2 linked regions of the Arabidopsis thaliana genome follow. The protein of the gene in region 1 interacts with the protein of each later gene in a biochemical or structural test. Each region holds a gene or a part of one and is shown in the gene's direction. Other genes may lie near its edges.

Region 1 (7,007 bases):
TGTTGGAATGCTGTCAGATTGAGATTCTGACTCCGCCAACTCTGAAGTAGAGCCTCCTGAAACATAGCCAACAGAACCAGACACAACGCTTTCAGATAGGATCTGAGAGTTCTTGACATCTTGATCTCTATCATTGGCATTGACAGGCAGTTCCATGCTTTGCTCGAGATTAGAAGTGCGAGCACTACCTTCATTGTCACTCTTCTTAGACACACCACCTTCTCTAGCTTCAACCATTGAGTCCATCGTTGAAATATAAACACTCTCTGAAGTTTCAAATACGTGTATCTGCGGATATGTCTCAGTCTCTATCTGAAAAGTAGACTCATGTTCACTTGTAATAACTTCCATATGTTGATGACTAAGCAACTCGGGCTTCTCAATGGAAACACTGTTTGTTATAGTTGTCAATTCCCCAGCAAGTTCCAAAGACGCTTCAACAGCTACGCTAGTATGAACAGTGCTGACAAGGAGATCTTGGCATTCGGTCCCAGAAACATCTTGTCCACCTACCTCAAGAGTAGAGGGAGCTTGGTCCCCTCTTTCTAGTACTGTGACATCAGATAGCTCTATCTCCTTCAAATCAGGCTTTGCAGTTTTGCCAATATTTTCAGCTTCCACTTTTTCAACTTCGGAAGCTGAGTCTATATGGCTATCAGAATGACCTTCAACCAAAATTGACCGTGCATCTGCAGTTAGATCATTGCGGTTATAACTACTTTGAATGTGGTCGCTGATAACATTTTCATCATTGGAAGTCTCTGGAAGTAAAGTGCTCTGATTATTCAACTCACCGCTACAAGTAATAATAGTCTGTACATTCCCATCGCTACAATCATCTTCCATCCTTGATTCTACATTGGCTTTCTCTTCTGTTTGGTCAAGAAGATTATCCGTCGTCTCAGTTCCTATTTTACCAAGATCAGTAGTATCTATAGCCTCTACCGTCGCGGTATTAGAAGTCAAGATGGAATTCTTTTCCTCCACAGATGCCTCTTCTACAGCCGTTGGTGAGTCATCTTTAACCAGAACCTGCTCCTGTCCATCATCTGTCTTTACCACAGAGGACTCTCCTGGAGTATCATCCACAGAGGGGTTGGGTTGTAAGTTCACCGTTTCCTCTTTGGAAAGACTTCTTTCATGGGATGTCTGACCAGGCTCTACTGTTTCCATTGTGCAGCCTAGTTCATGAGAAGTGTCAGATTTCTTGATAGTATCCTCTCTTACAATAACTTCGTCCTGTCCAACTGAATTCAAAAGCATTGCAACAGATTCCGACGAAGTAGCCTCAGACCAAACATTATTGTGCCTAGAAATGGCACAGGACTCCGTTGCACCTGAACTAAACACTATACCACTACTTCCACGAGAGAAATCCTCAATCCAGTTATTATCTTCGTTACCCTCAATACCAAGAAAAGCTTCAGATTCACCTAAACTATCAAACCTCAGATGCGTGTTGAGTGTATCATCAAAATCAAACTTTGGAAGAGCATAAGGCTGTAAAACTGGTGGAAATTTGTTGTTGGCTTCACCAGCTAAATGGAGATTCTGGTTTTGAAAGTCACTGTCATCATAATCCATGAGTTTATTCCTGAAATCAGAGACATATATAAACATCAAACAACCAAAAGAAACAAAAGCATAACACAACAACCGTGAAACATATTTAAAGAAGCGACTCTGGTCATTTTCTTGTCGAGTGGAGTAAAACAGTAGGAAAGCGAAAAGTACCGACACAAGAGTGTATGGAGACGCTACCTCCCTCCATTCGGTGACAAGAAAACCTGGCCGTCAGACCTCAACTGTTACCTAATCGCACGTTCATCTACTACTGCTCCACCAACAACAAAACCATACGCGTCAATTATAAAATCTCTTCCTTCTCAAAATTCAAGGGCACACGAAAACCTAAAAGAGTGAACTTTCTTAAAATGATAAATTGAAACGCTAGCGAAGAAGTTAAACTCACCGGAAAATTCAAACTGACGGAGGTGACCTAGGGTTCCGGCGAAGAAACGAGGTTTGGCGAGTGAAGCAGATTGGGAGAGAAATGCCCGATAAATTATATTCGCTTTCCTCGGCAAATGAAATGAGTCTGGTTTAAGTAAAGCCCAAAATTAAATAAATATTTGGAGAGAAAATAAAGATGGATACTGATGCCGCTTAATCCATAGTGACACGTGTCGAATTTTCTGGATCGTGTGGCTAATATTGAACTTAAACAAAAAGACGCGAAAGGTTTTTTACTTTTAAATTAACGTACGTTAAAATTTAGTGTAATTTACTGGCTAGAGTTCCGTTAAAAGAAAATTAAATGACCAAGAGGTAAAAGAAAACAACTTTTGTTTGACGTGACTGTGGTAAAAGTTAGAAGATTTATTGTTGAAATGACTATTGACTACTGATTAGTGTAATGAAGATGATTGGTTGGCTAAACAAAATGGAAAGTGTCTTAAGGATAAAATTAGAGAAGAGACATGTCACTCACTAACTAATAGATAGAGGCTTTTGTGTGTTAGGCAATTGACGGATTGGACTTTTGGACCATCAGATCAAAAGGAATCCATTGGGATATTTATATGGGCTTAGGCCCACTTTATAATTTTTTTCTGTTAGGTTTTTTTGGTATTTTGGTTTATGAATGATAGTATTTGTACCATAGATGGTTTGGTACGGTTTCGTATTGGTATTGGTTCGACTTCAAGTTTTAATCAAATGTTTATTTAACTTGAAAACAAAATTGGATTTAAAATCAGGTTTTTCTTTCTGTTTGTTTAGTTTGGATTCGAATTCAATATTTTGAATAGGAAAAATGAATTCATAATTTTAAAAAAAATATAGTTCATTTTCAGATCGATTATTTGAGTTTGGACGTTTGGTTCATAATATCAGTTTACTGGGATGGAATAATTTTCAACTTTTAAGCGGTAGTGGGTGGAAAAACATTTGTCAGGGATCGGTTTAATCTAGGATTGAGCATTCCACTTCGTTGTTCTATACTGCAAATTAAATTCATGATAATAAAAAACTATCCATAAACCATATACTAAAAATATTACTTTTAAAATTCATGGGGCGGAGAAAGTATTATAAACAACCATCCTCTCTGCAAATTTTTATTTAATGTCACCACTACTTTGGATCACTTTTCTAAGATCTTAAGTTTTCTGTTTGTTGCAATTTTATTACATGTATATGCCAATATCTCTTACACACCAACTCCAAACAAAGCAGCGGTGGTACATGAATTAACTCCTAATCCCTATTAATATTTTAGGCGTTTAGCACCTCCCAAACTAAAAAATACAAATTGTAACCAAAAAAAATATATATAGATATAAAAGAATACGACCATCTATCATAATTGGTGTGAGACAACATTAGTTTAAATGCAGGATATTAACATGACAACAGAACACTCTTATCTTCACATATTATGAAATACCTTATCCATCATTTTCATAGCATTATACCAATTGGTTGTCTTTAATCATCTTCGATGTCACTAACCCTCAAAATTCAAAAGAAAATGAATAGTCTAAATAATTGGCGGTTTGGGCGGCATCCAATTGTGACAGGCCACGTAGAGTGGGACCAACAACTTCATTACCTCGTTTGGCTCTTTGCTATATATAAAGTCAAGCATTAGTATGCCCAAAACCACACAAATAGAAATAACTTGTAATCAACCAAAGTCGAAAAACAGAGTTATTTTGTCGGATCAAAATGGTGAAGATTGAGATAGGAAGTGTGGGTGACTCCTTTAGTGTAGCATCTCTTAAGGCTTACTTGTCTGAATTTATCGCAACTCTTCTCTTTGTGTTTGCTGGCGTTGGCTCTGCTCTTGCTTTTGCCAAGCTCACATCCGATGCAGCCTTGGACCCCGCTGGTCTTGTCGCTGTCGCTGTGGCTCACGCCTTTGCCCTTTTCGTTGGTGTTTCCATAGCCGCCAACATCTCCGGCGGACACCTTAACCCCGCCGTGACACTCGGTCTCGCCGTCGGTGGCAACATCACAGTAATAACCGGTTTCTTTTACTGGATTGCTCAATGCCTTGGCTCCATCGTCGCGTGTCTCCTCCTCGTCTTCGTTACCAATGGCGAGGTACACAAAAACATTCGTAATTTATTCAATACTATTTATTTAAGTCATGTGTTATTTCTGATTATGACTGTTTTGTCCAAACGACCGTGACTAAAAAATGTTATGCCGGTCTTAAGATCCAGTTTGATTTTAAAAGGTATATGGATTAACCGAGAATGTGTTTATTTCCCGGTTATGCAGAGCGTACCGACTCATGGAGTAGCGGCCGGTTTAGGAGCTATTGAAGGAGTAGTGATGGAGATTGTGGTGACCTTTGCTCTGGTCTACACAGTCTACGCCACAGCGGCTGATCCAAAGAAAGGTTCACTCGGGACCATTGCTCCAATTGCTATCGGTTTCATCGTTGGTGCCAACATCCTCGCAGCGGGTCCCTTTAGCGGTGGTTCCATGAACCCGGCCAGGTCATTTGGACCAGCTGTTGTCAGTGGTGACTTCTCTCAGATATGGATCTACTGGGTGGGTCCACTAGTCGGTGGTGCACTTGCTGGACTCATCTACGGAGACGTCTTCATCGGATCCTACGCTCCAGCTCCCACCACAGAAAGCTACCCTTGATCAATCCTATAGCGTTTTAATTTGCTTGGCTTGCTTTTTGTTGTATGAAAATGTTTGGTCCTCGTTTCTTCCAAAAATGAATGATTGAATGTGGAGAAAAAGATCAAAGTTGTACTTTGTGTTGGTTATAAATAAGAATTGTATATTTTCAAATTTTATATCTCTGCCTTGTACTTTCTTGCATGTGTTAATGGCTAAAAATAACCGGTTTTAACTGTCCAATTAAACACTTCCAACCTTTTGATATTAAAATCACATCACACATGTATATAAGAAAATATGTTTTGGGGAATCTTTCAAATATATGCTTGAAAGGTTGACAAAAAAATCCATAGATTCAAGATATCCCAAATTGCTCAATTTTTTGTTTTGTGGAAAGGCCAATATTTCCTTATCCAAGGCCTAATACTGAAAAGGGCCCATTAGAATCCAATTAAAATTCATAAACTCAAGCTAATACACAAATTGGTCTTATTGGCTGGAGACACTACTATTGTTTAAACAACCGTTTAAGAGTACTCAACTTAAGTGATACAAATAGTAATGCTAGAAAGACATTTTAAAAATTCGTTATCCCGTGAAACCAAACCAAACGATGAAACGACAGAGTACATTAATAGAAAAACGAAATGGTCTCTTTACGTATGGTTTATTATTTGAAGGAAGCTGGTCGGTTGTGGGGGAATGAATCGTGTGAGAGCCGTCCGCTCAAAAGACAAAATGCTCTTAAACCAATGCCTTTGTCGTCTCTTTGTGGTTTCACAAACCGTCCCACCAGATTAAGATATTACCTGAATTCATGGACATTGTTCTTAACCATAACATTATCCTCTCTTTCTCCACACCTATATAAAGAACATGGAGACGAGTTCTTAAAATTTGCAAGACTCTTACGGTAAATTAAACACTTATCCAGATTTTTATTGTAATCTATATTATTGATTAGTCTGCACGTACTTTTGGGACTCGTGGTTTGAATAATTCTCTTTTCTCATAGAAAAAGAAGAAAAAAGATTCTCTTATTGTATAAGTTAGGTTTATGCTCTTCCTCTTCTCTTCCACCTGAGTCAACATCATCCTTTTCATCTTCAAAAGCTTTTTCCTTTTAAAATCATTTTCTTTATATTTTTCTTTTTCTCAGTTTTACAGTTCATTTTTTTCAAGTTTTAATTCTGAAACTCAGAGCTGGTTCTCTGTTTTGATCACATGGTTTTGTTCAGAACATAACTCTTGTTCCACCAGGACAATAAATACCATCTTCTGATCACACGTCATCTTTCCATATTCAAGAAAACTTCATTTTCCATCGGAAGATTCGTTTAGGAGAGAAAATGGAAAGTGGCTTTTATTCAGATTGGAAAGATACTTCTTCTTCTTCGTTCTTTGGATCAGAGAATATGGAGGAAGAGTTGGAAGATGGAGTTCTTAGAGCTGAAGAGCTTTTCTCATCGATTCCTCAACCTCAGACACCTAAAGAGCCAATGGAGTTTCTGTCTAGATCCTGGAGTCTCTCTACTTCTGAAATCTCCAAAGCACTTGCTCTCAAACATAGACAACAACAAGATCAGTTTTGTGTTGGCCAGAACAGTCCTCCTGTTTTGTTCCCTGATGCTGCTGCAGATCCACTCGTGGTACGATCCTTTTATCCCTTTTCCAAATTCCAATGAAACCCTTTTTCCAACTATTTCTTAGAATTATGATGAGCCTTAAAAGTCAGAGACTTTTCAATTGTATATGATTGCCATTGCACCAGTTCCTAACATAGTTCTTGGGAATTGGAATGGATAATAATAGTGGACTCTTTTCATATTTTACAACTTTGGGATTTTGATTCTAGGCTGGGAAGATCATGAACTCTGTTGGCACACGTAGAGCAGGGACATTGTCTAAATGGTTTCACCACAACAAGGAACACAGCACCAGCAGTACTACTACCAATCTCAAGAAGAAAGATAAAGTGCGTGTGGAGAACGCCCACGTGCATTCTGCCGTCTCTATAGCGGCTCTGGCTGCAGGTTTAGCCTCTGTGACATCTGCTAGCAATTGCAAAGGGTCAGGCTCCAAGATGGCACTGGCTTTAGCCTCAGCCACTGAACTGTTGGCCTCACACTGTGTTGAGATGGCTGAGCGAGCCGGTGCTGACCATGCACGTGTTACTTCCACGGTTAGATCTTCTGTGGATATCCACAGCCCCGGTGATCTCATGACTCTAACAGCCGCTGCTGCAACTGGTAAGGCTTTGTTGCAGCTTCACAAGGCTTTTTCAGTTTCGTTGATATGCATTTGATCTGACTTTGTTTAAACTGACACTAGCTTTGAGAGGAGAAGCGGCTCTGAAGGCGAGG
Region 2 (6,426 bases), on another chromosome or scaffold:
TTTCTAATCACAGATGATCATTCCAATATGATAACAGTTTGACAACAAAAGGTACTATTTTCAACAAACAAACAACTGAAACAAGTGTTGATGCTAAAGTTAACATGGACAATAGTAATCATTCTTCGTCATCAGTGAATGTATAACAAGAATCATGAAGGGGGCAATAGAAATTTCTTGATAAAAATGTCTTAAAGCCTCGTGGTTTTATGAGACAACACGAATCATGAAGGGGGTAATAGAATGACCTCAAGTCCTTAGTGAGCTTTGGAGATCTTTCTATGGTCTGTTTTAATTCGCTTCATCTAGATTCAGCTTGATCCAATCCACGCCCATATCGGTTATGACTTGCCTTGATCAATGATCATAGAGTAGCTATGTTCTATGCTACATGATCAAGTTCAATGCCAAAGAAGTTACTAAAAGAATAAAAACAAAAAGAAAGAAATTACCATGGATTCAACACAATAAGACAACAACAGTGAAAAGTCTAATACACAAGTTAGCATATTTGCTGAGGAAGATTTTGCACTTGCAAGGACAGATTATTACGCAAGAGGCACATATTCTACACCAAGTCAAATCAAGGAAAAGCTAAGAACCCAGTTTAATAGCATTACGACTATAAACTACGAAATTTAAAATTCTCATTTTTTAGTTTCTTCTCTTTCTTTTAGTACAGGAAGATTCCCAATGCCGTTGAAAAACAAATACCTTGTGTCTAATTCTAAAGCATTTCGTACTAAAATAATTGTTAGAATTTAATGACCAAAATCATTAACACATGTAATTGCCGCCAAATTACAAATTTTTTTATTATAAATCACCATGTTTACAAAACACATATAGTTAAGTTAACCGTTACTTTCTTTAGCTTATCTCTAAGTCTTGGAAACAAGAAGAAAAAAAAGAGCATCAAAAGGTTCAGTTATGCTTTTTTGTGTATTTGGGATTTAGGGTGTTCTTTGAGCTGATAAGGATCGACTGAAGGAGCTAACCAGAGACCCACCAGAATGATCAAGTGTAGACACAATAGCAAACCCGAGGAGGACGGTGTTGATGGATAAACATTCCAACAGAGCTCAATGCCGAGGAACATGATCAAGCTTTTACAGCCAAAAGAAAAACAAGAAGACGAGTTAGGTTTTGATATTTTAACTGTTGTTACAGTAAGAAATGCAGAAATAACTTACCGCAGCCAAGTGGGAAACGGTGTTCTCCATAGTAGATAAGGTAGCGAATAGAAGTACCTGTTATGATCATATGAGTATTGGGGTTGAGGCTAAGAATGTTCGAGAAACGTAAGATTTAGCCAGGTTATTTGGTTACCATGAGTAGAACTGGTAGTGCAGAGAGCGAGCAAATACAATGCCGATGAAATTCCCAACAAACATGGCCGTGACGACATCTGCGAATCAAGTGGAATGCCTGTAAGTATGGACATAGGGAAACATAAGCTAAAATAACAGTAAGAGCTTACGTTCTTTCGTAATAATCCGTGAGGCTGATACATCACTGAACGAGAGTGAAGACGGAAGTGTCAAGAAGAAATGCCTAGAACGCATGAAGCCTATAATCCCGCCTTCATGCCTATAAAATCAACATATTAATTACAACTAATGCTAAACACACAAACTGCAACTGCTTTCAAATTGCAGCTGCCTTATGATTGTACGTACTTGCACCACTTATAATTTGCGAACGCCACAAGGAGAAAAAGGTGAGCAATGAGCAAGCATACTGCAAATTCTTTGGACACAAAAACTCGTTCTGGAACAAATTTGAAGTTAACAGACCTGTTGAGAGCTCAAACTAGAGTTAGAGGTCAAAAGACATTTTTAGATCCCATCAACATGTTTTTTAGATTTGGCGGGAGAGAAGCGAACAATACCAGAAATGAATGAAAACACGTCCAAGATCAAAGGCGTTTGCTATGTATGAAACCGGATATGTTATCAGAAACGGCAGTCCCACGAGTATCTGTATAACCATTCATTGACCAGCTGAATGGTACTTCTTGCATAATCAAAACTATAATTCGCTGGATAATGCAACTCACCTATTTACATTGAAGAAACTACAGTTAACAAGTTTCCAAATTGTCTTGGAGAAACAATGCTACGCATACAAATTGGTGAATAAGAAGGCTTATAAGAGATATAGTGAAACCTGAACAAGAGCTGCACCAGCCAAAGCAGACACCACTCCAATGATATTCATGGCCTGTGAATAGTAAAACTTCACATATGAAGAAAAACAATGCTAGAAGAATAATAAAGCAAATCCATAAACTAATTCTCTTCCACGAACATATATACCTTAAGTAGCAGAAGTAACAAAGTTGGAGCATACAAAAGTACATTCATCTTTACAGAAACAGCTCCACTGTATAAAAAGAAGGGTAAGCAGACTAGTCAATCTAAAGAATCGAGAAGCAAAAGCAGCAATCTAACCTGAAAACAAGCATCCCTAGATGCCATTTACGATAGAGAAAGAGAGCCATTGATGCATGTAGGAGAGTCATGGCAAAACAATCATTAAAGAGACGGAGAACAAAGATTGAATGTATCCTCTTGGATAAACATAGTAGACTTAATGCCCACCATGGCACCTGAAATACGTAAGGATACAAGAAGAGATATCATCACTGAATTCACTAAAATCACTCCCATCATAAACAGACAAATCAAAACCAAAATATTGTTCATTAACATCGTAAATGGACAACGCTTGACAACGTCTACAAATACTTGATGAAAAGAGATAAGAAATAAGTCTTCATTTATACCACATCAGTCTTCACGTAGATGATCAAGACGATCCCCAGATTGACAATGTAGAGAACACCAAAAAGAATCTGCAAAATGTAAGAGAGTAGAATTGAGACAAATGAAGCGATGGATGGATCAAATTCCGCAGCTAATCCAAAGATAGGAGATTCAAAGAGAGGGAATTGCAAGCACCTGAGCAGGGTAGACTTCCCCTCCAGTTAAGTTCTGCACTGCAGAGTAAACATAGAGGAAACCTGCTGGATAAACCAATGGCCCTGTATCGCCTTTCAAGTTCCCATAGTCTCTCTCTCCCCCGAGAAACCCACTAACCTGCCCCAATTAGATAAATTTCACTTAAAGACTACTAGTTTACTTTGAAGAAACCACAGTTGACCATTGACACTTACCTGTGACATGTAAGCATCCCAATCGATCTTCGTGTCTGTTAAAGGCAAATGACGAAATTTGGTTTAAAACCTATGCAAATGCACATTTCGAGGGATACGCAAGCAAAAAAAAAAAGGAGGTAAATAGCTCTCACATGGAACATAGGCGATAATAAGTGCGACTAGGATTGCATCAGCAAGAATTAGCGCGAATGCGAATGGAACTGCAGGTTTTTTGAATAGATCGGATCGATTCGTCTCCTTCCCCAGCCGACGGCTACGAGAAGCTCTCAAACTCGCCGGTGATGAGGCGCCCGCCATGAAAACAGAGCAAATCGCATCAGCGTCTAGCCAACGCCGCGTAACAGACAACTACTTCCATATTACTACTCTTCTAATTAGCCCAAATTAAATGAGCCTATTGGGCTTCTTGTCTTAGTCGGTGTAGAGCCCAATTGTTGTTTTATTTTTTAATAATGCAAAAGTATTAAGCGATAAATAAATAAGCATCGCAATCGTCCCAAAACTGTGTGTATGCATCAGACATGAGCATATAGAGTAAGCACGTGTCCACACTTTTTCACAAAGTTATCTAAAAACAAAAAACAATTAATTAGCATTCGACGTGTACATATCACTCGCCACGTGTACAAGAGCCTTGGCCTTTTTGCTTCTTCTTCTTGTCTATTAATATCATCTCCTGATTATACTCTCTTTTGACCAAGCTGCTTCTTCTCCATCTATCCAACATCTCAAATCTCAGTAATCTTGTTCCTTCGATTCTGTTTTGGACGTTTGTAATGGATTCTCAGGACATCAGATACCGCGGCGGAGACGACAGAGACGCTGCAACGACGGCTATGGCCGAGACAGAGAGGAAAAGCGCTGACGACAACAAAGGAAAACGCGATCAAAAGAGGGCGATGGCGAAACGTGGTCTCAAGTCTCTGACGGTAGCGGTTGCGGCTCCTGTGCTCGTGACGCTCTTCGCTACGTATTTCCTCGGCACAAGCGACGGATACGGGAATCGAGCTAAGTCCTCGTCGTGGATCCCACCTCTGTGGCTCCTACACACAACGTGTCTCGCTTCTAGTGGTCTGATGGGTTTGGCTGCGTGGCTTGTATGGGTTGACGGTGGCTTCCACAAGAAGCCCAATGCTCTGTATCTTTACTTAGCTCAGTTTTTGCTCTGTTTGGTTTGGGATCCGGTTACGTTCCGCGTCGGGTCGGGAGTAGCGGGGCTTGCGGTGTGGTTGGGTCAATCGGCTGCGTTATTCGGATGCTACAAGGCCTTTAATGAGATAAGTCCGGTCGCTGGTAATCTGGTAAAGCCGTGTTTGGCTTGGGCTGCCTTTGTAGCCGCTGTTAATGTAAAGCTTGCAGTCGCGTGAGATCTGTAAACGCTATACGATGATGTTTGTAGAGTCTGAGTCATATGAGTGTTTCTTGTTGTTTTTGTTTTTTGTGATATATACCATAAAAGATGTCTTTGCGATCCAATGGTCTGGTCATTGTGGAGTAATAGACATGAACATGATATACTTGAGAAATAATGTGATATTGTAGAAGTTTTAAGCGTTGGTCTGAAATCAAACTGTGAGATTCTTAAAAGGCGATCGTTTTACTTTTATGTCGCCGAAACGGAACAAATTCAAACGGTAAAGCCAACTATACTTTGATCAGTTTTGGGTTGGGCCGTTGACACTGTTTTGTGGGCTTCTCAGTCAGTGGTAAACCTAAAATTAATATAGGAACTCGAGGATTAGGGCCCAATCCATTTTAACACGTGATGATATCATGTAAGGTTTGGAGGGAATATACAAAAAGTGGATGAATGATAGCGAACGAGAGGTCCTTGTGCTTTTTTGATTTACCCTCGAGACTCGTGCCGACGGAGTGGCCGTGGCTTTCGTGCAACAGTCTCGACCCATACCTCGACACGTGTTGAAAACGGTCCATTAAGAGTAAGACATCTGTCAATAGGACAGCTGTCCTAGAGGTCACTCGTCTCTCACAATCCAATCCCTTTCGCTTAAATTAAAACTAAAATGGAGCATGGCAGCAACATGCCACGTGGCTCACCAGTTTCAAATCTGAGCCGTCCGGTGTGATATAAGTCTTTTTAAAGAGAGAGAGAGCGGTTCGTTTGTCTGCAACGGCACCAAGTCTTTGACAATGGCTGAAGATGAAATAGTAGTCGAAGAAGAGCAATCACAGCCACAGGAGATTACTCCAGTTCCACCATCTTCTTCGTCTTCGCCTTCGTTAGTGGTGGAAGACGACGATGAGATGAAGCTCAAGCACTTGGAATTCATTCAAGTCGCGGCGGTTTACTTCGCCGCCTGTTTCTCGACCCTCTACGAGTTGGCTAAAGACAACGCTGGTCCACTCAAACTCGGCGTCGAGAACATTGAAGATTGCGTTCGAACCGTGCTTGCTCCATTATACGAAAAATTCCACGACGTTCCTTTCAAGCTTCTCCTTTTCGTCGATCGTAAGGTAACAATCAGAATGTAATTCTTAACTTGAATATCGCTTCGGTTTCATGAGTGAGAGGCAAATGATTTGCTTGGTTTTCAGGTGGACGATGTGTTCTTCGATGTTGAGACATATGTTCCGTCATTGGTGAAGCAAGCTTCTAGCCAAGCGCTCACGGTGGCCACGGAGGTGCAGCGCACCGGCGTTGTGGACACTACCAAGAGCATTGCAAGAAGCGTCCGGGACAAGTACGAGCCAGCGGCAGAGTATTACGCAGCGACGCTGTGGCGTTTACTGAATCAACTGCCGTTGTTCCCTGAAGTTGCGCATTTAGTGATCCCCACGGCGTTTTACTGGTCAGAGAAGTACAACGATGCGGTTCGTTACGTTGGCGACAGAGACTACTTTGGGGCAGAGTATCTACCCATGATTCCTATTGAGAAGATCTCTGATATTTTGGAACAAGATCAGTGTCGAGCTGATTGACTATTTACTCTTCTGAAGCCAAAGATTCCTTCTTCTATAGAGTATATATACTGTATGTACTCTGTTTTTCTTTCCTTTCTGCAATTTGCTATCCCAAGAGATGTAATCTTTCTTCAATATTTCATTTAAACAACTTTGCCTTTTAATAATAACAAGAACAAGAGACATAAAGGAAACTGTCCTCTTCAGTCTCAACTTTTATAAAAGACACAAGACCCAAAAAGTAGTATCTGTTTACTAGTAAGGAGAGTGTCTGTTTTTCTTGCGGTTCCTTGGCGGCTTAACAACCAACTCACTTGAAGTCC

Evidence for each region. Proteins that work in one complex are often made in the same cells at the same time.
Region 2: the proteins of TIP2;2 (region 1) and TSPO form a complex in vitro, tested with the Arabidopsis thaliana proteins (one study listed by BioGRID).

The regions. Positions count from the first base shown.
Region 1 is NC_003075.7:9,695,589-9,702,595, forward strand, and holds TIP2;2 (tonoplast intrinsic protein 2;2), read left to right. Parts: upstream 1-3,351; 5' UTR 3,352-3,729; coding exon 3,730-4,107; intron 4,108-4,287; coding exon 4,288-4,662; 3' UTR 4,663-4,884; downstream 4,885-7,007. Other genes in the region: G2484-1 protein, read right to left, coding at 1-1,584; AT4G17350 (auxin canalization protein (DUF828)), read left to right, coding at 5,994-6,293, 6,500-6,893, 6,976-7,007. UniProt on the Arabidopsis thaliana protein: Aquaporins facilitate the transport of water and small neutral solutes across cell membranes.
Region 2 is NC_003071.7:19,564,744-19,571,169, forward strand, and holds TSPO (TSPO(outer membrane tryptophan-rich sensory protein)-like protein), read left to right. Parts: upstream 1-3,720; 5' UTR 3,721-3,957; coding exon 3,958-4,548; 3' UTR 4,549-4,764; downstream 4,765-6,426. Other genes in the region: ALG3 (asparagine-linked glycosylation 3), read right to left, coding at 929-1,106, 1,194-1,250, 1,330-1,408, 1,481-1,590, 1,680-1,796, 1,892-1,980, 2,170-2,223, 2,319-2,385 and 5 more; AT2G47780 (Rubber elongation factor protein (REF)), read left to right, coding at 5,333-5,656, 5,738-6,121; AT2G47790 (Transducin/WD40 repeat-like superfamily protein), read right to left, coding at 6,359-6,426. UniProt on the Arabidopsis thaliana protein: Stress-induced membrane protein that can bind heme and may play a role in the transport of tetrapyrrole intermediates during salt stress and contribute to the detoxification of highly reactive porphyrins in the cytoplasm.